4 linked regions of the Caenorhabditis elegans genome follow. The protein of the gene in region 4 purifies or fractionates together with the protein of the main gene of each other region. This does not show direct contact. Each region holds a gene or a part of one and is shown on either strand. Other genes may lie near its edges. The genes, in order: C37H5.13, upp-1, gst-42 and D1022.4.

Region 1 (8,292 bases), on a different chromosome or scaffold from region 4:
AGTCTTAGCCTGACACGGCCTTCTGACTTTCCCAAAGAGCCCTAGTGTCACAAAACGGAGCTAATTACGAAATTCTCAGTTTGCACGGTTTCAAATTTCAAAATATTTTCTTCCTATGTAATAGATGATAGAATAAAACATATTAAACATATTAAACATATTATTCAATCCGGCCATCAAGTATTAGAAAATTTGATGTAATTTTCCAAAACAGCCAAGATTTTGGAGGAGCCTATAGGCCTATAATTATAATTAACCTAAATTTTTTTTTAATATAAAGCCGTGCACATATTGTATAAAATCTGCAATTTGTGTTCAATTCCCTATGATTGGTATCCCATTGATTTTCCGGATCTACTTTTTCTGCCCCTCCTGACACTGATTCAGAACACATGTCAAGATTAAAAGTCCTAACTAATTTCCGGTTTTCTCTTCCATCTGAAAGTTTTTATTAACGCTTACGTATTCAATAGAATTTCAATTCCCCGGGTTTCCGACTTGTTATGGCTGAAAAACACTGAAATTAACAAATGAAGCGGAAGAAAATATTGAAATTGAATTTCATAGGCTACATTGTAGCCAGTCTAGTCTTCTGTTGAATTTCTCATTCTCATTTTTATTAGGTACATTTGGGTTCAAGAATTTCCTCTGCAATATTTATCACCAGATTTTCATCATATTTTTAAAACTGGAGGAAAACATTTGAAGGAAATTTATTTCCACCTCGATACTTTGATCGAAAATCTTGAAACACTTTCCGCAAAATTTTCAAAGTGTTCGATATTTTTCTCAGATAGCACTTTAAGTTCATTCTCGGGCGCAAACAAACTCTCTGCAAAAATAAATGACGAATTTTTATTTGCCTTTCAAAAACTCTTCTTTTTTCCTCAATCGTCTGATTTTCCAACAACAAAGCTGTGATTTTCAACGAAAGTACTTTTTTCTCTAGGAATCTTTATTAATTGTTTAAATATATATTTTATTCTAAAAATTAAAAATTGTTTGATATGTGGTATTTGCTTCTCATTGGAACAAAATCCACAAAAATAAGTGGGTTTCAGAGATGGTAAATATCTTTGAATTTTCATTTTCTATACTTAAAGAATGAAATCCTTTTAAGTAAGTTCATCTGAAACTTTGTAGATCAGTACTTTGAAATAATTTTTAAAAATATTTCAAAGAAGTTTTCTTAATCTTGATTGTAGACATGTTCGTAAAAAACTTGAGTTAGTAATTTATTTTAAATCTCAAAAGTAGTGAAACACGATTTCAGGTTTAATTTTTTCCTAGTTTCAAGTGCTCATATGCAGCTGAATTTTATTTAGAGTCATGTTTAAAGAATTTTTCTTCGAATGCCATAGGTTTCATTTTAATGTGAAAGTATAATCTCTCAGAAACAGTGAGTAGAAAAAGTATAATAATAAAAATGTTTGCCGAAGTTTTTAGTTTCAGAGTTATACTCATTCAAAACTGTTGGCAAATCACCGGGAAACCGAAAACGCATACACTTTCCGGTGGCCTGTACCTAGTAGAGACGTGCGGCAAACCTCAAAATTTTCCGAGCTCGGCAAATCCGGCAAATTTGCCAAACTCTACAAATTCGGCAGGTCTACATTTACCGCACGCGCCTGATACCTTTTTTTTCTTTGCCAGTCAAAAATTTTACCTCTTTCCTTTTTAACTTCGAAATTGCGGTAAATCAACCTAGATTTACTCCAATGAAAATTGTAACCATTTTATAAATTTACAGTGAAAGTTTTTATGTTCTAAATGAATAATTTCTGACAACACTGTTTAGCCTAGCTGCACTGAATTTTAAACTCAAAATCAATATTTCATCTTTTGAAACACTCTCGGTCTGCAAAAAAAAATTCCTCCTAGACAAGTCACCAGCGTGTAGTTGTTCTCTAAAATTGCGTCATTTCTATCGTTTCGACTACACACATAACGTGTAGTCACTGGTCTCATCGGTCAGTCGTTCGCTACCAAACAAACACTTTTACGTCTAAACCTCCACGTTTTTAGAGATCTCTCAATCTCAGCGGGCCCTCACTTAAGAACTCGTATTTTTAAAGAAAAGCTAATATCATCTTTTATTTCATTTCTAATATTTACTGGGAGAGAAAAGACGAGTTTTTGTTGCTCTTTCGAATTTTTGTGGAACAATAGAAGATGCTAGTCGGATGCAGGACAGCTCGTCATTTTGTAAAATCGGTGAGTTTTTCTTTTGAAATTTGAGCAATTTTTTTAATACTAGAAATAACTTTTGATCGGGAATTTAATTGGAAATAAATGATTAGCAAAGATGTTAATCTTCATTTCCTCAGTTTAATCCAATAAAACTTATTAATAAATAAAATGAAAATTAGATTTTCTGATTTGCAGAATTAACGTGCACTTTCTTCTTATCAAATCTTGGAATTAAAACACAATTCTTAGTCGAAATGTTTTTTTTTGCAATTCCATGTTTTGTGTAGTTGCCCGATCGCGTTTTTTTTTGCGATTTTTGCGCAAAAAAATACGGTAGCCGGGCTCACCACGACAATTTTATTTGATGCCAGAAAGTGAGCGCCTTTAAACTCTCGTTTCTGAGTAATTTTGCTCAAACTCTATAGATTTCACACTTGCAAAAAAAATTGTGTAGCATAGGTATACTTGAAATCATTTTGTATAACTTTCAATGCGAATTTTTTTGAATGTTAAGTTGAATTCAAATAGAATGTGTGCAACCAAATTAAATGTTTGGTTTCCCAACAAAATTTTTCTTTCACTTCCTCCTGGTTTCCTTCGTCTATCTGCTCTATTGATTCCCATTATTTTGTCTAGTATGGCGTGACAGATTGTCTCTCCTTTTCCTCTTTTTCCAATTTAATTAACGCCTAGCCAGATACACTTCTGATTCCCTTTTGCTCATCGGAGCGTGTCCCCCCCCCCCCCCCAGCTTGCAGACTGAACATTTGTTCGTAGAGTTGGCTCCTCTGTTTGCTGGCAGATTTTCTAGCAGAGTTATTCTCTTCTTTGTTTTTTTTATTTTTAAAACTAAATTTAGAGATCTTCTTCAGTACTTTTTAACTTTGGAGTTTTTGAAATCCCTTTTAATATCGTTTAAAAAATTTCATAATTTTTAAAATCAAATACCGTCATATATTTTATGTTTTGCAACAAATCACACGATTTCTGCCAAATTCCCTGAACAGCGCATCGTAAAAACAATATTTCATGTCAAACATTTGCATACGTACCAGTTATATTGTTTTATAGAAATGTCAATATGTTGCATTTCTCACGAATGTGATATGTGATCTTTTGTTCAGAACTTTGTGTTTTGATTTTGTTGCTGCAAGATTTTCTGATCATTTTAAAACAACAGAAAAACAACAGTCAAAAGAGTAGTCTAGAACCGAAAATTTAACGAGAACTGAATTTTTTTCTTTAGCTTGTAAAATTTAAAATGAGAATTCGTGTCAACGTGTTCATTATTTCAAAAAAAAAGAATATTTATGATTTAGAGAAGCAAAAATGCTAGAATTGTAGATATTTTTGAAGAAAAGTTATTGAAATTTACTTTTGAAAATTTGGGGTTTTTTATGCAGATTTTCCAATGTAGCTAATCAATAAATTCTTTTAAAAACTATATTTATTTAATTAAAATTAGAATACAGTTAGCTAAAAAATTTTAAAAGAAAATTCTTTTGTTACTAAAATGTTTTCACAAAAACTTTCGTTTTTTTAAACTTACAGTGAAAAAGTTTTCTACGGATATTAAATTTAATTTTTAAATACTTTGAATACTTGTATAAAGCATTGTGCAGTTCGAACATTAACACAAAATTTGCAAAATTACCCAAACGGTGTCTGAAAATTTTAGGAGTATTTTATCATAACAATCAGCAATTTTAAAATAATTTGACAATTTTTTAGGTTCTATATATGAATATAAATTTTTCGGTGTGAATTTTTAGAATTGAGATTTCAATCGGGGAACCATTTTCCAATTTCTCACCACTTTGTGCAAATTTCCGGTAAATTTCTATCGAGCCTTGATCATCCGAATCCTAATCTTTATCCAATTCATTTCCAAATCCCAAATCAAAAGTTTCCGTCGTCTCTGTTTCCTTCTAGTCATCCTATCCTCACCCCACATTTGCTTGTCCTTCATGTTAATCCGTGTCGAGCCTTCTTCTCCCCGTCTTTTCTTGTCTGCGTCTCTTCACTCTCACATCGTCCTTCCTCAATTCCTCTCCACACTCTTTTTCCCTTCAGGCCCTTCAAGCGGTGGAGGAAGAAATTTCAATGTTTTTTGTTCCCCTTGTGCGTTTGTGTTCGTTTTTATGTCAAGTATTTTCCGAAAAAAAAAACAAATTCCATTTTTCTTCCAGACTGCACGTCGGTTCATCGAACAGAAACGTTTGGAAAGCTTGACAACGGGCAACGGTATGTCATCTCCTTCCTCAACTCACGCAAACACTGCTCCAGTCGTGCAGAGCCATTTTGCGCACAGACCACAGCACGTCAGCTCGGCCCCCTCGGTGAGTCTATAGCCTTTCAAGTTTCATAGATTGTAGAGCGCAGAGTAGTTATTTTCAATTAAAGTACATTTTGAGTATTTTGAAACAATTTTCCTTCTTCTTTTTTTAGAATTCTTTGACCGTAAGCTACATTTTTGAAATTAGGACTTGCTTTTATTAGAATTGTCTATTGAAAAGTGCCAAATATTATAGTTAAAATTTTTCGAAATTTTATTGAGTGGTGGAAACTTCATAATTTTGAAAGTCGACCAGAAAGTTGTTCTAACTTAAAATTTGTATTGTAAAATTGTAAAGTTTGAACAGTTGATTTGAAACATTGTTGAAGTTTAAACGTGCATCAACGCTAAGAATAAAATTACTTGATAATCTACTTTTTTGGTAGATTTGGCAACTTACCAAAATTTTGACTGACAATTTTGAAAACATAATTTTGAAACTGTGCGGAGTGTTTAAGTGTGATATATGGTATTTTATAACAATAACAAGTGTTTTATAAAATTTAAACATCACTGACGATACCCTTAACTTGTTGAAAAAGGTTTTTAAAAACATTGATAAAAACATAAATTTGAAAAAAAAATTTTTGATCTACTTTCAAAATTACTTGTAGCGCTAAGCCCCTTTTTAACTGGAAAAAAATTATTTCTGAAAATTTTAGAATAGTTTTACTAAGCTTTTTTAAAATAATTTTAGCAGTATAGAAATGATTTTAACTATGGCCCTACTGGCACAACTTCAGTTCCAAAAATTAAAGCAGCCACCTTTTTTTTTTGATTTTTCATGTTTCTCAAAGGAATTTTTTAAGGGTTTTTAAATAATTTTATCGTGAAAACCTGTAATAACCATGCTTCACGCAAGCCACGTTGTCGCTTATTCCAACTCTTCAATCTTCCCCACAAATCCAAATTTCACTCATTGCAGCGCTCAATGGAAATTGACGATCAGAACGGTGTTCAACACTATCCGATGCTTCTCAACGTCACCCACATTGACATGACGTCCCGTGCCGATGACATTCGTGCCGGGCTTATCGACACGTTTTTGAATCTGGAAAGAGTGGACAAGAACTTGTATTTGTGAGTTTTTTTTTGCTGATATTTTCTGTGTATCTGATAAATTTTTGGTGCGGGAAAACGTATGAACCTGAAAATCTAAATTATTTTTTGTATTTGTTGGATGGGAAATAATTCAGAACTTATTTCCCCCCGACAATCGAGGAATTTTTCTACGGCTGGCAAAGCTGACGTCCGGTTCTTTTTTTGGTGATTAATCCAATACGGTTAGGTTTTTGCGTTGTAGGTCTGTGGAAAGGGCCGCGCGGGTCGTCCCGCCAAAGCTTCTGATGTTTTGACCCAAAAAATGTTATTGACTTGTTTTTGAGCTGGTAGTGAATTTCATAACCGTGTCCCGAAATATCAGTCGGGGACGCTAGTAGACAGAGGCTCCCTAGAGGACGAGCCTCTGTTTTGCGACGGGTCTTTTCACAGGCCTAGCTCGTTGAATCAGTTGCCCGCTACTCGCCCGCACATTACCCTATGTTCCCCTACCTACGTGCCTCCCCGCCAGCCTACCTGCCTGCTGTATGTTTATTTATAGGTGCCTATCGGAGTTTTGTAATTGCCTACTGAATTCCTGTGTCTTGAGCAACCGGATTCAGAATTTTCCTGAGTACAGTCGAAAACGTCGGGTTTCACCCAATTTTCGGTTTCTAATTTTTCAATAATCCTCTAAATTCAGGGCTCGTCACTTGCTCAAAGGCCGAAACTCTTTGCCAGTTGTTTACGGAGGACAGGTCATCGGACAAGCTCTCTCGGCCGCCACCGCCACCGTCGAAGTCGGCTTCGTTCCAAACAGTCTTCACAGCTACTTTGTTCAAAGTGGCAACGTGGAACGCCCGATTCTATACCAAGTTGACCGCATCAGAGACGGAAAGAGCTTCTGCACTAGATTGGTGAAGGCTCTGCAAGATGGTGAAGCCATCTTCACAGTACAAATCTCGTTTCATAGAGTGAGAGTAATTTTATGAGTTTCCATGATTAATAAATTTTCGTTTCAGCCAGAAGCGGATTCCATTGTCCACCAGTTGCCAATGCCCGAGGTTCCGGCTCCAGATAGTCTCGAGGATCTTTCGGACACTTTTGAGAGAATCAAGAAGAATGCTAACATTCCTCCAGCTGCACTTGCGATGATTGGATTCAAGCAAAAGGAAATTCCACCCGCATTCTTCAGAATCTTTTCGGTTAGTGAGTGCATCGAATGAGCATATTTGCAAAATTTGGAACCTGTAGAATCTGCTATAACTGACTATGAGATCGTGGCGAGACCCACTCAGAAAACAGCGTGTTTTCCCAAATTTACGATACTCAGCTTAAACAGCTTGAACAAGAATTTCCAAAGTACAATCTTGACAGTGAAAATACAGTAGTTTAATCTTGTCAACTAAAACATTTTCAGTTCCGCCCAGTCGACATTGACTCATACCTTTGTCTGAAAAAAGACGATCATACGGCTGGACATGGCCATCCAACTGATGCCTACCGATCGTACGTCTGGATTAAAGCAAACGAGAACATTGGGGATGATCCACGACTTCACTTGGCTGCTGCTGCATACATTTCGGATGCAACGATGATTGAAACTGCATTGAGACCTCATTCGAAGTAGGTTTGATATTGTTAAATGTTTAAGTACAGTAGGGGTACTGTAGTAGTACTGTAGTTTGGGGAGAAATGAGTTTTTGACTTTTGGAGTAGGGGTACTTTGATATCTGCAGCTAATGGTTTATAAGTTTGACCACCAATTAAGGATCCAATCATTTATTCCACATACATTTATCATCTCCTTCCAGACGCGGCTTCATCCCATCAATGGCTCTCACTCTTGACCACTCGATTTGGATGCACACTGACAACTTCCGTGTCGACGACTGGATGCTCTATGAGAATCACTCAACGATTGCCGGTGGCGGACGTAGTCTTATTGAAGGAAAGCTGTGGACCAGAGACGGACGTTTGGTGTTCTCGACCACACAAGAAGCGCTGATCCGAACCGCTAAGAATCGTCCAAATGCGTCTCCTGCCAAATAATAGTAATAATGAAACTTGGAATCTTCATTTATTTATTGTACATCTTTTTTTTTGAAACTTCGATCAAAAATATAAACGGACATTCGTGTAGTGTTAAGTGTAGTTTTAAGTTTTTCTTTTGAATGATCTCTTTCTTTTTTAAAAAAAAAAGTTTTTTTAGTTTTTTTTTGTTTGTATTTTTTCAGTACAGTTTTGATACATTTAAGAAATGTGAGAAATTAAAGAGATAAGTTTGAAATTTTTAGGTCAGCGGGCATGAGGGTATGTGTTGATTTGTAATTTGATTAGATGAGGAAGAAATTGATAAATATGTACAAAATGAAAATTATTCTTCAATTGATTCTGGTGTCGGCGCAAAACTGTTCTCCAAATTGTTGAATCCGCTGAGAAGTGTGCAAATCATTCGGGTATATTCCCCAGAAGTTGATTGGCAAATGTCGTGCTCCAGAGGGCGTTGATATTTTCGCTTGTACTCGAGAGAGATGTCTTGTAAGTCAATCTGAAAATATTGAAAGATTTATTTAGGGATTTCCACAATTACGTATTTATTCTTTTGTAAAACCTTGAATATAATTTAAAGGAAGAACGGGCAAAATCGGCCAAATGCAGCGATTTCCTATTTGGCGCCGGTCGTGTTTTCGTGGCGAGACCTACACGCCCTCGAACCTTTACTTTAT
Region 2 (4,913 bases), on a different chromosome or scaffold from region 4:
GCGAGGTATTCAAGGGGTGAAGTGTGACCGAATAAAAGATAGTGTGTCCGATAAACCGTGGGACTAAATGATAAATGTTTTTTTTTTCTTTCCGTCAATGCCAAAAGGTTTCGGCAAAATAAAAAGAAACATACAGATCCCTTCATATTTTCAATTCGCCCTGATTTGATCTTCTCACCTTGAAACTTTCTGGTCTATAATCTATGGGTAAGTCATGACAAAATTGGCGACTAAGTTCTATCAGTAGAGTTGCATTCGAATGTAATTATTTCATTTTCCGAATTCTCTATTTAAAATCAAGACGTCGCAAAATGATGTGCACCTCTAAGAAATACAGTAACCCATGTCCTGTTTGTTTGCAATTTCTTCAATTTTTTTCCAGAAGGACATTTAGAAGAAAACAACTAGTTTTCAGCAAAAAAGGATATAAAATTAATTTTCAAAAACTTTATTTTTAGCATTTTGATGAGATTGCAAATTTAAAATTGAATCTTTTGAAATTATCAACGTTTCTTTTTGAATTCTAACAATAATATGTTGGCAGTCAAAATTTGAAAATTTGAGAACGATGCTCAATAAATTTTTGTTCAGGTTTCAAAAAACTGGAAGAAGCCAGCTTTGAAAGAAATGACGAGTTGGAAACTACAGTACCCATAAAAACGAAAAATCTTTCGCATTTGAAACTCATGCCCTTTTTCGGCAACTCGGCAACCGATTTTTGTGACGTTGTGAGACTACTGTAGACCGAATTTCCAAATATTCAGTGTCACTTAAAAATCATGATAACAATTGATAAGATCACCCCTCATAACTGTGTCCCGTTGACTTTATCATTTCCGTCTTTTTTCGTCATCTTCTTGCGCCACGTGCTGTCTCTTTCGCAGAATCATTGTTATAATCTCGCCATCTTTCATGATTGAAATTTATTGTCAATGTGTTCAGGAACTAGCCTTTTATTTACGATGACAAATAGATGAAACACTGGGGACACTAAAAGCGTAGTTTTGAACAATCAACACCATAAAACTATAAATGAACAAAGTTGGCAGCAAGAATTATCAGCATTATCAGGAGAAAGAACTTTTTGTGCAGATAAGAAACAATTGAACGCGGAGATCAGAATGACATGATTATTATTATCTGTATTCTTACCGCAAACTTTTAAAATAATAATTGAAACAAAAAAGATTCTCGCAAAATTGTAATATTCAAAGTTCGCGCGTTTTTATCTGTCTGCATGTCGACGTGTCGGTGTTTGCACACTTACGCTACATCTTACGACAGGTGTTTTCAAACTCTCGCGAATTTATTTTTTTCCTTCGAAATCATCGAATTTCTTCCATTTAAGTCTAAAAACTTCATATTTTCAGTAAGATAATTCATTACTATTAATATCCAAAGTTTATATCATGTGGTGCTTGAACAAACTGCTGGTGCGAAAAGTTTAAATCAAATAAAAGCAAATCCTTCGTTGAAAACAATCGGAGATTTTCGATTTTCCACGTGGAAACTGTTCTAAACTGCGTCACCATCGTTTTGTTTGTCTTTATTGTCTCAGAAAGTTCAGTTCCTGTTGACTTTTTTACTCAAATTTCAAAACTTTGTCCTTTTACTCAATTTTTCTGACTTGTCGAAGCTTCTTCACAGAAACTGTTTGTTACATCACCACGCTTTCTTTTTTCCGCAAAATAATTTTTCTTTCCATCTATTTCCAATCGTTCCGCCCATTTTCTCGACGAAAACAAAAAAAAAGATAGATAAAAAGGGAGGAGTTTCGAGGTTACTTGCTTTACGGAATAAAAGTTTCATTTTCTCAATATTTTCATTTGGAAATTTGTGAGTTCTTTTTCGTCTTTATATATTAGAGTGATTTTGCTTATTTCAGATTGAAAAATAATTGTTTCACTTTTCTTTTAAATTTCAATTTTTCTCTGAGGTGTACTAAAAGTCTTGGTAGCAAAGGTAGAATCTCGTTTTTCTCGTTTTTATTATTTATCACGTAGCCTGGAGCTCACGAGTTGTCCAAATTGGATTTGAGTCCTTTTTAAGCATCTCTAACCGTCTACTCTCTCTGCTCTCTCCTCGTCTCTTTTGGAGTGCCCTTTTCTTATTCTATGTGATACTGACGACATTTAGCACGCGTATTCTGGTTCCTGTTTTTGTTTTGCTCTCTTTTATTCATGAAGTTTTTTTTTTCATTCCTATAAGTTGGAATTTTTTCAGATCCATCAAGATGAACGGACTTGTCAAGAACGGAAATGTGGAGAAGCCAAACAAGTACTTCGATATCAAGGATAAAAGAGATTTTCTTTATCACTTTGGTTTTGGAGTCGACACTCTCGATATTCCAGCAGTTTTTGGAGATACCAAGGTTGGTTCTACAAAGTCTAGAAAAAATTGAATAAGTGAAAAAGTTCCCTCATTAGTTTTAATATTAGTTCACTCCTAATCTTCGAGAAATGTTCCACTTTAAAAATCGTTTACTATATATAAAGCGCGTGTCCTTCTGTCCCTATGTAGTTTGATCTCTGATCAGAGCAACGAAATTTTGGGAAACCTTATGCTAAGTGCGCAGCAGGCATCGATCGAGGTCCGCGATAGACACCGTATATCTAATGTGTTTTCTCAAAGAAGTCGGGGGCCGCGCCGTAGGTGCGGTCCACGGCTGGTGATTCATAATGTTCCAAAAAATATGAGAAATAATCCATTTATGTCTTCACTTCCCAGGTAGAATGATGCAACAGTTTTCTCTATTCATACATATCGATCAACAGAACAAACACAAAAATATATTCATTCATTTGGCGCTTTTATTTCTTCAATTTTTTGACCCGTTAGTTGTCATGCGAGTTTTCTTCTTTTTGAATTATAAATTTGCATAGCCACGCGCCTCCTGGTGTCCAATTTCAATAGAGGGTAAATATAATTTGAATCGATACCAACACAAAACGAATCTAGAATTTTCAAGAGCTACATATTCCTCACTGATAAGTTTATCTCTCTCCTAGGGCGGGTAATACTTCTAGCCAATTGTTACACAAGCGCCCTTCGTGTCATAGGAATGTCTATGTCTTTACTGCACGTGTCAAACACGCTCCGTTGTGGTCTAGTGGTTAGGATTTATGGCTCTCACTCATAAGGCCGGGGTTCGATTCCCCGCAACGGAAGATTTTTTTTGTTTTTATAGGTGTTGTGTGCCGAAATTGAATCATTTTAGTGAATAATAATTTGCACTATCATTAAGTTAATTTCAGTTCGTCTGCACTGGAGGATCTCCAGGACGTTTCAAGTTGTATGCTGAATGGTTTGCCAAAGAGGCCAATATTCCATGCTCTGAAAATCTCTCACGGTCTGACCGTTTCGTGATTTACAAAACTGGACCAGTTTGCTGGATCAACGTATGTTATTTTGAGGCGACAATTATTTGACAAAAATAAATTTACAGCATGGAATGGGAACCCCATCTTTGAGCATCATGCTCGTCGAATCTTTCAAGTTGATGCACCATGCTGGTGTTAAGAACCCAACTTTCATTCGTCTTGGAACATCTGGAGGAGTCGGTGTTCCACCAGGAACTGTTGTTGTGTCAACTGAAGCCATGAATGCTGAGCTTGGAGATACCTATGTGCAAATCATCGCAGGAAAAAGAATTGAGCGGCCTACTCAACTCGATGCCGCACTCCGCGAGGCTCTTTGCGAAGTCGGAAAAGAGAAAAGCATTCCAGTTGAAACTGGAAAAACCATGTGCGCCGACGATTTCTATGAGGGACAGATGCGTCTTGATGGATACTTTTGCGATTACGAAGAAGAAGACAAGTATGCTTTCTTGCGGAAGCTAAATGCTCTTGGAGTACGAAATATTGAGATGGAGTCAACTTGCTTCGCCAGCTTCACGTGTCGCGCTGGATTCCAGTCTGCTATTGTCTGCGTCACTCTTTTGAATCGTATGGATGGAGATCAGGTAATATTTTGATTCTTATTGACAGTCTTCAATTATAACATTTATAGGTTCAAATCGCCAAAGAGCAATATATTGAATACGAGGAACGTCCATTCCGCCTTGTAACTGCCTACATTCGCAAGCAGACCGGGATCTAATAATCTTAAAATCAAGATTCTCAACTAATTGCTTTCCATGTTTCCTTACCACACGAATAGTATTCATATATTTTCTCTAATGCACCCCTCTCTAACTAACCCTTCTCTTCTAGAATAATGTGATTCTGTTTGGTTTCATTTCAGTCGAAATATGAAAGAAAGTTTATGTAAATAAATAAAGGTTTTGATTTTCTTTCTTTAAAAAAATTATCTTGATAATTTATGGAAGACATGTTGAAGAACTTTACAGAAAAAAAATCACAGAAAAAAACACGCAAAAACAAGGGTTTTTTGGAAAGGCACAAATTAAAAGAAAATTGAGAAAAATTGGAAAACGAGGCACACGTAATGGTAGAGAAAAGCTGTAGAGATGTGATAAATACGATAATTAAATAAAAAGTTTAGAAAATTAGAAATTATCAAATAAAATTTTAAAACAAAAGAGAAAATTCTGTTTGGTTTCGATCAAAACCCTGAGCAATTTGTTAGTGTTGTCGGAGATTTCAGAGAAGTTTTGGGGGATTTAAAGAATAAAAAAGTAGGTAAATAAAATAACAAAAATATTGGAATGTAACAAGTATGTAGCAAGTGATTGAAGATTTCTTATCAGTGCAGTGATAAGAAAATACGAAAATATGAATTACCAAAACAATATTTTGAAACAATCAATCTAGAATCTCAGTTCTGATTCCAGATCAATTGTTTTTGGTTTCTTAGAGCACAAGTACAGTAATATCGCTGAGCAAACTGCAAATGAGCCCAATGCGATGAGTAGTGGAGCCATTTTCACACAAATCGATTTTGATTCCTTTGAC
Region 3 (4,572 bases), on a different chromosome or scaffold from region 4:
AGTTTACAATTAAGAACAAACAAGTACTTGAAGATGGTCACGAAAACTTAACAAAAAATATTGTTCACTTCTGCGAACAAGCTGGTAAACACCAAAATTCATTTTTTTTTGCAGCATTCTACGATCGAAATCATCCGACAAATCGGGAGAGAATATGATATTCGAGGCAGTGAATGAGAAAAAGAAAAATGGTAAAAAAGAAAAAGGAGAGAAAGTTGAAGATTCAAAAGTGTGCATCATAATGTAATGTGAGGAAATATGGAATGTCGTTTGATCTCAAATGGGAATAGATAATGCATTGTTTCGTATTATGGAAAAATTACTGAAACACAACTGTACTTAAATTTTAATGTTTCTTTTCTTGGTGAACTTTTCAGTTCTAGTCAGCTCCCCGAACCTCCCGGTAATTTTGAAATGTATGTTTCCAGTGAACTTGTGATATTGATGATAATTGGATTTTATAACAGTAGTTTGTGTATTTGTGTTTTATTAATTTTTGAGATTGGAATAAATAATTTGTAAATAAACATTTTCTCCACTATTACATTTTTGGATGAAATCTTAACTAAAAGAGGGATTCAAAAACAATTTGAAAATAGCATTTCGATGCTTGAAATGTGTAAAATTTTGCGCGGTAGTTCACTGTATTAATATTTTACAAGACTAAAAAAATCCATTAATCACTTTTTGCATATTACTTTACAGTCCAATTAGAAGAAAAGCTCAATACCAACTAATGAATAACCTAATGGAACATACTTTTTTCAAGAGTTTGTTGTATACTGTGAAGTTACAGCGTAGACATTGTTGAAGCAGCCAGACGGATGACATAGGATTGATCACTGAAAAATGACAGATTATCAAAAGACCAGTTTTTAGAACCAGCTTCATCCCAATCCCTAGTCGACTGATCTTTACCTCTCTTGCGTTTCGACTGATTCAGGTCAGAAATAGAAATGTCGTTGATGGGAACTTTTTTGAGAATACTCAATGGACAAATCGATGACGGATTTTAGGATCACAACGACGAGGGATTCAGAGACTTGCGAGGACAGCAGAGAACGGACAGACTAACATGGAAGGACATTTTGAAACGTTTTATAAATAGGACGGTTGATTTAAAAACAACAATTTATTGGACCAACTTGAGTGATAGTACAGATTGCAAGAAGTTGGTTTTTTAAATCATAAACGTGCTACATTGACGCACTGAGAAGAGACTGAGGGGAAAACAAAGGAGATGAAAGATCTATAGGGAGTGAAGGGGAGATCTTAAATAGAAAATACACCGGAAAATCAGAAGTTGACCCGAGCACGAAGACACGTTGATGAGAGAGGAGTTGGGAAGAAGAAAGGGCGTCGACGATCACTGTAAAAAGTTAATTAATATTAGTTCTGATTTTAACCCATAACCGCAAATATTTCTCATATTCACGAACTTACCTTATTGCGGTTGATCTCAGTGAGATAAAACGGAACTTTGTCACCAGTCCAAGACGTATTGTTTTCCACAAGATGAAGAAGACGCTCGTCCGTGATTTTCACAAAATCTGAAAAAGATATAATTAGTATTTTGATGTACCTAACACCTAGTTTCAACTTACCATCGATACGACGAGAAGTCGAGCTTTGAGAACGGGGACGTGGAACAATCGACTCTGATGAAATGATCCGCGTTCCGTCAATGCATTTCGACAAGATCTCTTTCAGCTCCAACTTGAGCTCCGGCGAAAAACGAACGTTGTTCACCACAATCACCGTGGCTTGGGTCTGGATCTCATTAATACGATCCACCAGATATGCTTTTAATGAACGTGTCTCAACGTCGTTTAAATTGAAAAATAGTTCCTGGATGCTCTCAATTTCATTTAAGCACATCAAAGTGCACTGTGTATTTTTATATTGTCTTTGAAAAAATGACTTGGGTACAGCTTGGGCAAGAGTTGGGAGCAGCCTCATAAAAAAAGTCGTGGGCTGCTTGTTCTCTCAAGGCATCGCCCAAGGCTTACCATAGTTTTGTCTACTTCTTCTTATTCCTTCTAATGTTTTTTGAATCTGCATTTCTCTCTTGGTCTACATATGATGTTGGTAATGTATAGTAGAAGACCACGTGTGTCTGCACAATTACACTATCTCTAGTGTTCTGCGTCTGCAATATACAACAACAAAACCATTTCGTCGACATACACCGTCCAATCTTATCAGTTAGTTCGACATCATTCCGTCTTTGACCCTTTTTGTTTATTTTTCAACTAGTCATTATCATCAGTTATTCTTTCTGAGAATTTACAAAATTATTTTCTGCTTGTAGACATGTCCAACCAAAAGCCAGTTCTGTATTCTTATTGGAGATCATCGTGCTCATGGAGAGTTCGCATCGGTTGGTATTTTAATTATATCAATTTTAACTAGCAAAAATGTTATTTTCAGCGCTTGCTTTGAAAAACGTGGACTACGAATACAAAACTGTCGACTTGCTGTCCGAAGAGGCTAAGGTAAGAGAAAATCAAGCGGTTCTTTAAATTATTTTAAAATTTAGAGCAAACTGAAAGAAATCAACCCAGCTGCAAAAGTACCAACATTTGTTGTGGATGGTCAAGTAATTACTGAAAGTCTTGCGATTATTGAGTATTTGGAAGAAACGCATCCAGACGTTCCACTTTTGCCAAAAGATCCAATCAAGAGAGCTCACGCTAGAGCTATTTCTCTTTTGGTAAGTTTTACGTATTTAGTTGGTTTTTTTCTTAACTTTATACTGCTATTGTTTTACAAAAACTGTAACAATTATGTTTTGAGGTTTACAGGTTGCTTCTGGAATTCAACCTCTTCACAATTTGAAGGTTCTTCAACTTTTGAATAAAAAAGAAGCAGGATTCGGAGGACAGGTTTAATTTCAGAATCTTCAATGTATGTTTTCAATTTTTAAAATTTCAGTTTGCCAAACAGTTTGTTGTCGAAGGTCTCACTGCTCTTGAAATTCTTCTAAAGCAACATTCTGGGAAGTATGCTGTCGGAGATGACGTCACGATTGCGGATCTCTCCATCCCGCCACTTATCTACTCAGCTAACCGGTATGATTATAGGGAGGGTCAGGGAATTTTGGACATAGATAACTTTTTGAGAAAATTTATTATGTTTTAGTAATCTATCCAGAATTTCAATGTATTAGTTTGACATTTTGCGTATTCAAAACCTCGAAAATTTGAACACCTTTTGGGTTACCCTCAAACAACACTGACCAATTTTTCATAGACAGTTACTGAATCATCTTAGCAAGTGATTTAAACGAAAACACATTCCTATTGAAAACAACATCCACTTGTGTGGCAACAACCTTTTTATCGGATTCCTGATTCAAACAAAATGTATTAGTCATTCAACAAACATGAATTGGAAGCGATGAGCGTTTAGGATGAGACATGAGAGATTCACAGATAACCATCAGAATAACCTCCCTTCCAAATCGTTCCGATCGCAATCAAACCGTCATTTCAGATTCAACCTCGATTTGTCGCCATACCCAACAGTGAATCGTATCAATGAGACTCTTGCTGATATCCCCGCCTTTATTGCCGCTCATCCTGATAATCAACCAGATACCGGACTCAATGCTTAGATTCTTATGAATGATTGCGTTATTGGATTGGACATACAAGAGTTAACTATTTGAGAATTAAAAAAAAATGTTTCTTTGTCTCTTAAATTAGCACAAAAGTAATAATAAATTTACAACAGAAAATGTCCGCGATATCCTAAAGCAAGTTGCTTTTTTTAACTTTGTAAACTAACTTTTCTCGTTTTCATACTGAGTGTTTTTTTTTCAAATAAATTAATTTCTTAAAAATATTTTGAACTTTATTCAAACGAAATATCCAATGGAAAATTTTTTAGTATGCGAGTTCCACTGATAACTTTTTTGCGTTCAAAAAAAATGTCCTGCTTTGAAGACAGAATTTTTGATGTTTACCTATTTAGAAGTATGTTTCGAAATTCAAGTTAAACAGTTGCAGACCGGAAGCCTCCAAAAGTCATTTTTTTGTCCTCCTCTTCATGACCAAACTCAATCCCTGGGGATTAGCATCTGAAAACCCAATCGGCAATGTTGTGTCATGGAAACTTTTAGAGAACTTTCGGAAGACTTCCGTGCAAAGAGAACGTGTTTTTACGGGCGAGGTTGGCATAGTCATAGTACTAGTTGGTTGCCACCCACAACACAAGCCGGCCTTTCGATTCATCAAAGTATCCGTTTTTTTCACTCTTCTCCTCCCGCATTCTCCCCCTCTTTTCTTTGTCAGTGTGGTCTGCAAAGTTCAATTTCCAACTTTTCTCATTTTCTCTATCTCTGGCTCGCTCTTCGCAGCTCCTTTTCTGCTTTTTTTGTCTTTATGCAACCAGAATCAAGAGGAAAAGAGTGACGAATTAGGTTTAATAAAGGGTGATGTTTGACAACTTTGTCAAAGTGTATACCTCCCGTTGTCAAGGCATTTTTAAGTTACGCCTGCACTGATAAAAATGCTATATATAAAAGAAAACACAACACATTTATTGATTTGAACATCAAATTATTTTGGA
Region 4 (3,749 bases):
ACTTTTGAAACATGTGCGTCAGCATCTCCATGGTGAACTTGAATAAAAATATCATCTAATTGTTCTAAAGGAATTCCTTCGATAGGGGTCAGAGTTCCATGAAAACTTATAACAGCTCGAATTCCATCAAATCTATAACGAGCACAATCCAGGGAACACAGTCCTCCAATACAGAATCCAAATGCACCGAGCTTCTGTTTATCTACACATGGAACAGATTTCAAGGCATTTAAAGCAGCTTCTAATCTTGGTTTCAACTTTCCATTTCTATCGCTAGTCATAGGACGGAGCAGTGTCACTGCCGATGAGATGTCTGTGCATCTAATTCCTTTTCCATAAATATCAGCAACAAGAGCTACATATCCATGTTCTTCAGCCAATAATTTTGCCCTTGCAATTTCCAGTTTGGACACTCCTCGGAATGCAGGGAAAATCAAAACGCCGGGATGTTTAGTAGAGTTATCGGAGCTGAAAACATTGAATTATAGTTTCAAACTTTTCAAAAATCTTAAAATATCAATTATCAATTATCACAGACATCGGATATAACTTGAAAACTCTTATTTGTTGAAATCAATTTAGATCTATTTTAGATATACATAGTGTTCAACGGTTTCATTTAACAAGTAAACAATCAAATAATAACCTTGGTTTATACAGCTCTCCTGAAAATAAATTGCCATCCGCATCTTCATAATCAATAGTTTGATGAATCGACATAGCTTTCAATTCGGAAAAAAGCTATGAAATCTGAACTTTAAAATTTATAGAATCAGAAAAAGTTCTGCAAAAAATGACAAAATGATCATAATAAATACTTTTATACATTTACTTATCATATTTATTTCAAACAGGTTTGTTACGACGGAGAGATAGAAAAGTCACAAAATTTTGTGATCGTAGTGTACAGTACAACATTAGAAGATTTCTTTGAACAAGTCGAGAGTTGCATTCCATGATCTTTTTGCAGCCTTCTCATTGTAACCAATTCCTGGTGCATTGAAACTGTCAGCTTCTGGCTCAGTGAAAGCATGAACTGCATTTGCATGCGATACAAAGACAAAATCAGCTTGACGAGTTCTCATTTCTTCATGAAATCCATCAACTTGATCTTTTGCAATATGGAAGTCTGCGTCTCCGTGATGAACATACACAGTTGTTCCAACAATTGGATCTAGAGCAATATCAGGAATTGGTTTCAAAGTTCCATGATAGGATACAACTCCTTTGAGTCCAGCATTGTATCTTGCCAAATCGAGAACACAAAGCCCACCGAAACAATATCCGATTGCTGCAATTTTTGAGGTGTCCACTTCAGAGAAAGTCTTCAAAGTATTGACAGCGGCAAAAAGTCTTGGTTTCAGTTTCTCAACGCGATTGGAAACAAGCGGTCCCATTGTTGCAAATGCATCTGCTCGTTCAGTTGGTCTCACACCTTTTCCATAGACATCAGCAACAAAAGCAACGAATCCAAGCTAAAATTTGGTCTTTTTTTTTAAATCAGCATATTCCTGAGAATGCAGCTGTTATAGTTTTCCTGATTTTGTAAAACCTACTAAATATAGACTTTAAAGTAACCTCGGCAATTTGTTGGCCTTTGTCCTTTTCGAAATGCGTAATTCCTCGGAAAGCTGGGAAAATCAGTACGGCGGGAACTTTTGACTGTTTTACATTCCTACAAAAATAAATAAAAAATGAAAATAAAAAATAAAAAACAAACTTTGGAATATAAAGAACTCCTTCAAAGTTATTACCTTCCTCATCAGAATAATCAATAAGTTTCGTGGTAACGGTCATCTCGAAAAGAAGAAAACTAACAAGAGTTATCTAAGACGGTCAATATATATGTATACCTTTTGGGGTTTGACGTTGTCTGCGTATCGTCTCTATTACCATTATAACTGCTATATTTATGACCTTTCGTTTTTTTCTCTCTGGGTCTCTACGTTTCATTAGTGCGTAGCAAACATAGTTTCGGGAAAGTTCACAAACCAAAAAGTTGTCACAAAAATGATCAATATAAACTACATCTCTATTAAGACTTTAAACTGTGTTCAAAGCCATAAAAACTGAGCCAAAATTTTGAAGTTATCTGAATCTGATTAAAAATAACAAATATTTTTCTTTCTCTTTCATGAAAATTTATATAAATTTAAATAATGCATATAATATGAGATTTAAAATATTTCTTTAAATAAAGCCAAAGCAGATGCCCATGATCGATCCGCAGCTTTTTTGTTATATTTAACTCCGGGAAGTCCGAAAGAATCAGCATCTGAAAAATAAAAATATATCGTAAAGTTATTCGTAAACTATTTCTACCTGGCTCTGTGAATCCATGTTCAGCATGTGCATGACTGGAAAACACAAAATCCGCATTTCGAGTTCTCATCTCCACGTGGAATCCATCGACTTGTTCTTTTGGAATATGAGCATCCGAATCTCCATGATGAACCTGGACAGCTGTTTCAATAATCTTATCAAGTGGAGCATCAGGTATTGGAGTCAGTGTGCCATGAAATGAAATGGCTGCTTTCAGTCCAACATTGTACCTGGCTAGATCAAGCGCACATAGGCCTCCAAAACAAAATCCAAGTGCTCCAATTTTATTAACATCTACACACTGAACAGCCTTTATGGCATCAAATGCCGCGACTATTACACACTTTAATAGTTTACTCCTCTCAATTATCATTGGGCGTACAATTGCAAAACATTCTGCTTTGTCTTTTGGATGAATTCCCTTTCCAAATGGATCAGCTGCCAATGCGATGTAGCCCTCCTGAGCAAGAGCCTTCGCTTTTTCTTTTTCAAATTCGGTGATTCCGCGGAATGCAGGGAACACAAGGACACCGGGAAGTTTTCTCATTCTAGTTGTTCTGGAATAAATAACAAGTTTGGTTTGATAATTAGTTAAACCAGTCTGATACTATGTTGATGTCAAATGTTACCATTCTAATCATCAATCAGATTTCGTATGCTAAGTAAATTTAATATTGCATAACATTTATCGAAAATTTACAACATAGATTCAAATTTTTAATTTGTTTAAAATCCCTAATTTCAATAAAGTTGAGGCAATCGTTTGTCACAAAAAAACACCACACAACAGAAAGTCAACAAATGCAAACCTATCCGACTGGTGGAAGGAAAAACAATCTAATCCGCACACACTTTTATTATTCATGCTAAAATTCAATCTTCCGGCAAAATTCACATAAACTTTAAATTTATACAAACCTTGGAACATAAAGATCTCCTTCGTACACTTTTCCATTGGAATCTGTGTATTGAAGTTGACTATGAGTAACAGACATCTTGCCTTCGCGACACCAATAAAACAACTTTCACTTTTGTTGTTTCAACTACTTTTATAAGAAATTTCCTGAATTTTGTGTTTCTCTAGGCTCTCCAAATCTCTCCGATGAGCACAAAATAAGGACACATTATTTTGTGACCAACTTCACCATACATCCAAAAACTGTCGTACGAGACGGTCGCATCACAAATCTTAAATACTGGAATAACAATTTATAACGATATAGTCACAAAATTAGATATGAAATTAGCATTGTCCCTGACATGTAAATGTTACTCTGACAGTTCTGACAGTTCTGAGGTAGTTGTCTCTACACGCTCTGCATAATGAAACCACAGAAATCATGTTATTGTTTGGAGAAATTGTTGGCACAAATGGATTTGCATTTATTAGAGATTTTCCAGTCTATTTTTGTAAAGATATTCATTTT

The links.
Region 1: the proteins of D1022.4 (region 4) and C37H5.13 fractionate together in Caenorhabditis elegans (co-fractionation; one large-scale study listed by BioGRID). This does not show direct contact.
Region 2: the proteins of D1022.4 (region 4) and upp-1 fractionate together in Caenorhabditis elegans (co-fractionation; one large-scale study listed by BioGRID). This does not show direct contact.
Region 3: the proteins of D1022.4 (region 4) and gst-42 fractionate together in Caenorhabditis elegans (co-fractionation; one large-scale study listed by BioGRID). This does not show direct contact.

What each region holds. Positions count from the first base shown.
Region 1 is NC_003283.11:4,856,612-4,864,903, reverse strand, and holds C37H5.13 (Acyl-coenzyme A thioesterase 8), read left to right. Parts: upstream 1-1,938; 5' UTR 1,939-2,172; coding exon 2,173-2,214; intron 2,215-4,379; coding exon 4,380-4,529; intron 4,530-5,450; coding exon 5,451-5,605; intron 5,606-5,721; coding exon of another isoform or gene 5,722-5,773; exon of another isoform or gene 5,774-5,791; intron 5,792-6,266; coding exon 6,267-6,537; intron 6,538-6,585; coding exon 6,586-6,768; intron 6,769-6,983; coding exon 6,984-7,189; intron 7,190-7,377; coding exon 7,378-7,615; 3' UTR 7,616-7,940; downstream 7,941-8,292. Other genes in the region: nex-4 (Annexin), read right to left, coding at 7,941-8,114.
Region 2 is NC_003281.10:7,640,412-7,645,324, reverse strand, and holds upp-1 (Uridine and thymidine phosphorylase), read left to right. Parts: upstream 1-2,223; 5' UTR 2,224-2,233; coding exon 2,234-2,371; intron 2,372-3,093; exon of another isoform or gene 3,094-3,177; intron 3,178-3,254; coding exon 3,255-3,398; intron 3,399-3,445; coding exon 3,446-3,961; intron 3,962-4,008; coding exon 4,009-4,098; 3' UTR 4,099-4,291; downstream 4,292-4,913. Other genes in the region: fbn-1 (EGF-like domain-containing protein), read right to left, coding at 4,769-4,913. UniProt on the Caenorhabditis elegans protein: Catalyzes the reversible phosphorylytic cleavage of uridine and thymidine to uracil and ribose-phosphate or thymine and deoxyribose-1-phosphate.
Region 3 is NC_003284.9:11,725,538-11,730,109, reverse strand, and holds gst-42 (putative maleylacetoacetate isomerase), read left to right. Parts: upstream 1-2,173; 5' UTR 2,174-2,313; coding exon 2,314-2,380; intron 2,381-2,430; coding exon 2,431-2,495; intron 2,496-2,539; coding exon 2,540-2,713; intron 2,714-2,804; coding exon 2,805-2,885; intron 2,886-2,934; coding exon 2,935-3,071; intron 3,072-3,495; coding exon 3,496-3,616; 3' UTR 3,617-3,846; downstream 3,847-4,572. Other genes in the region: D1053.3 (Ras family protein), read left to right, coding at 115-247; D1053.2 (Histone-lysine N-methyltransferase, H3 lysine-79 specific), read right to left, coding at 1,367-1,369, 1,444-1,550, 1,605-1,959.
Region 4 is NC_003280.10:7,455,490-7,459,238, forward strand, and holds D1022.4 (Dienelactone hydrolase domain-containing protein), read right to left. Parts: upstream 1,804-3,749; 5' UTR 1,798-1,803; coding exon 1,721-1,797; intron 1,676-1,720; coding exon 1,579-1,675; intron 1,476-1,578; coding exon 918-1,475; 3' UTR 825-917; downstream 1-824. Other genes in the region: D1022.3 (Dienelactone hydrolase domain-containing protein), read right to left, coding at 1-468, 647-720; D1022.5 (Dienelactone hydrolase domain-containing protein), read right to left, coding at 2,178-2,275, 2,323-2,879, 3,241-3,317.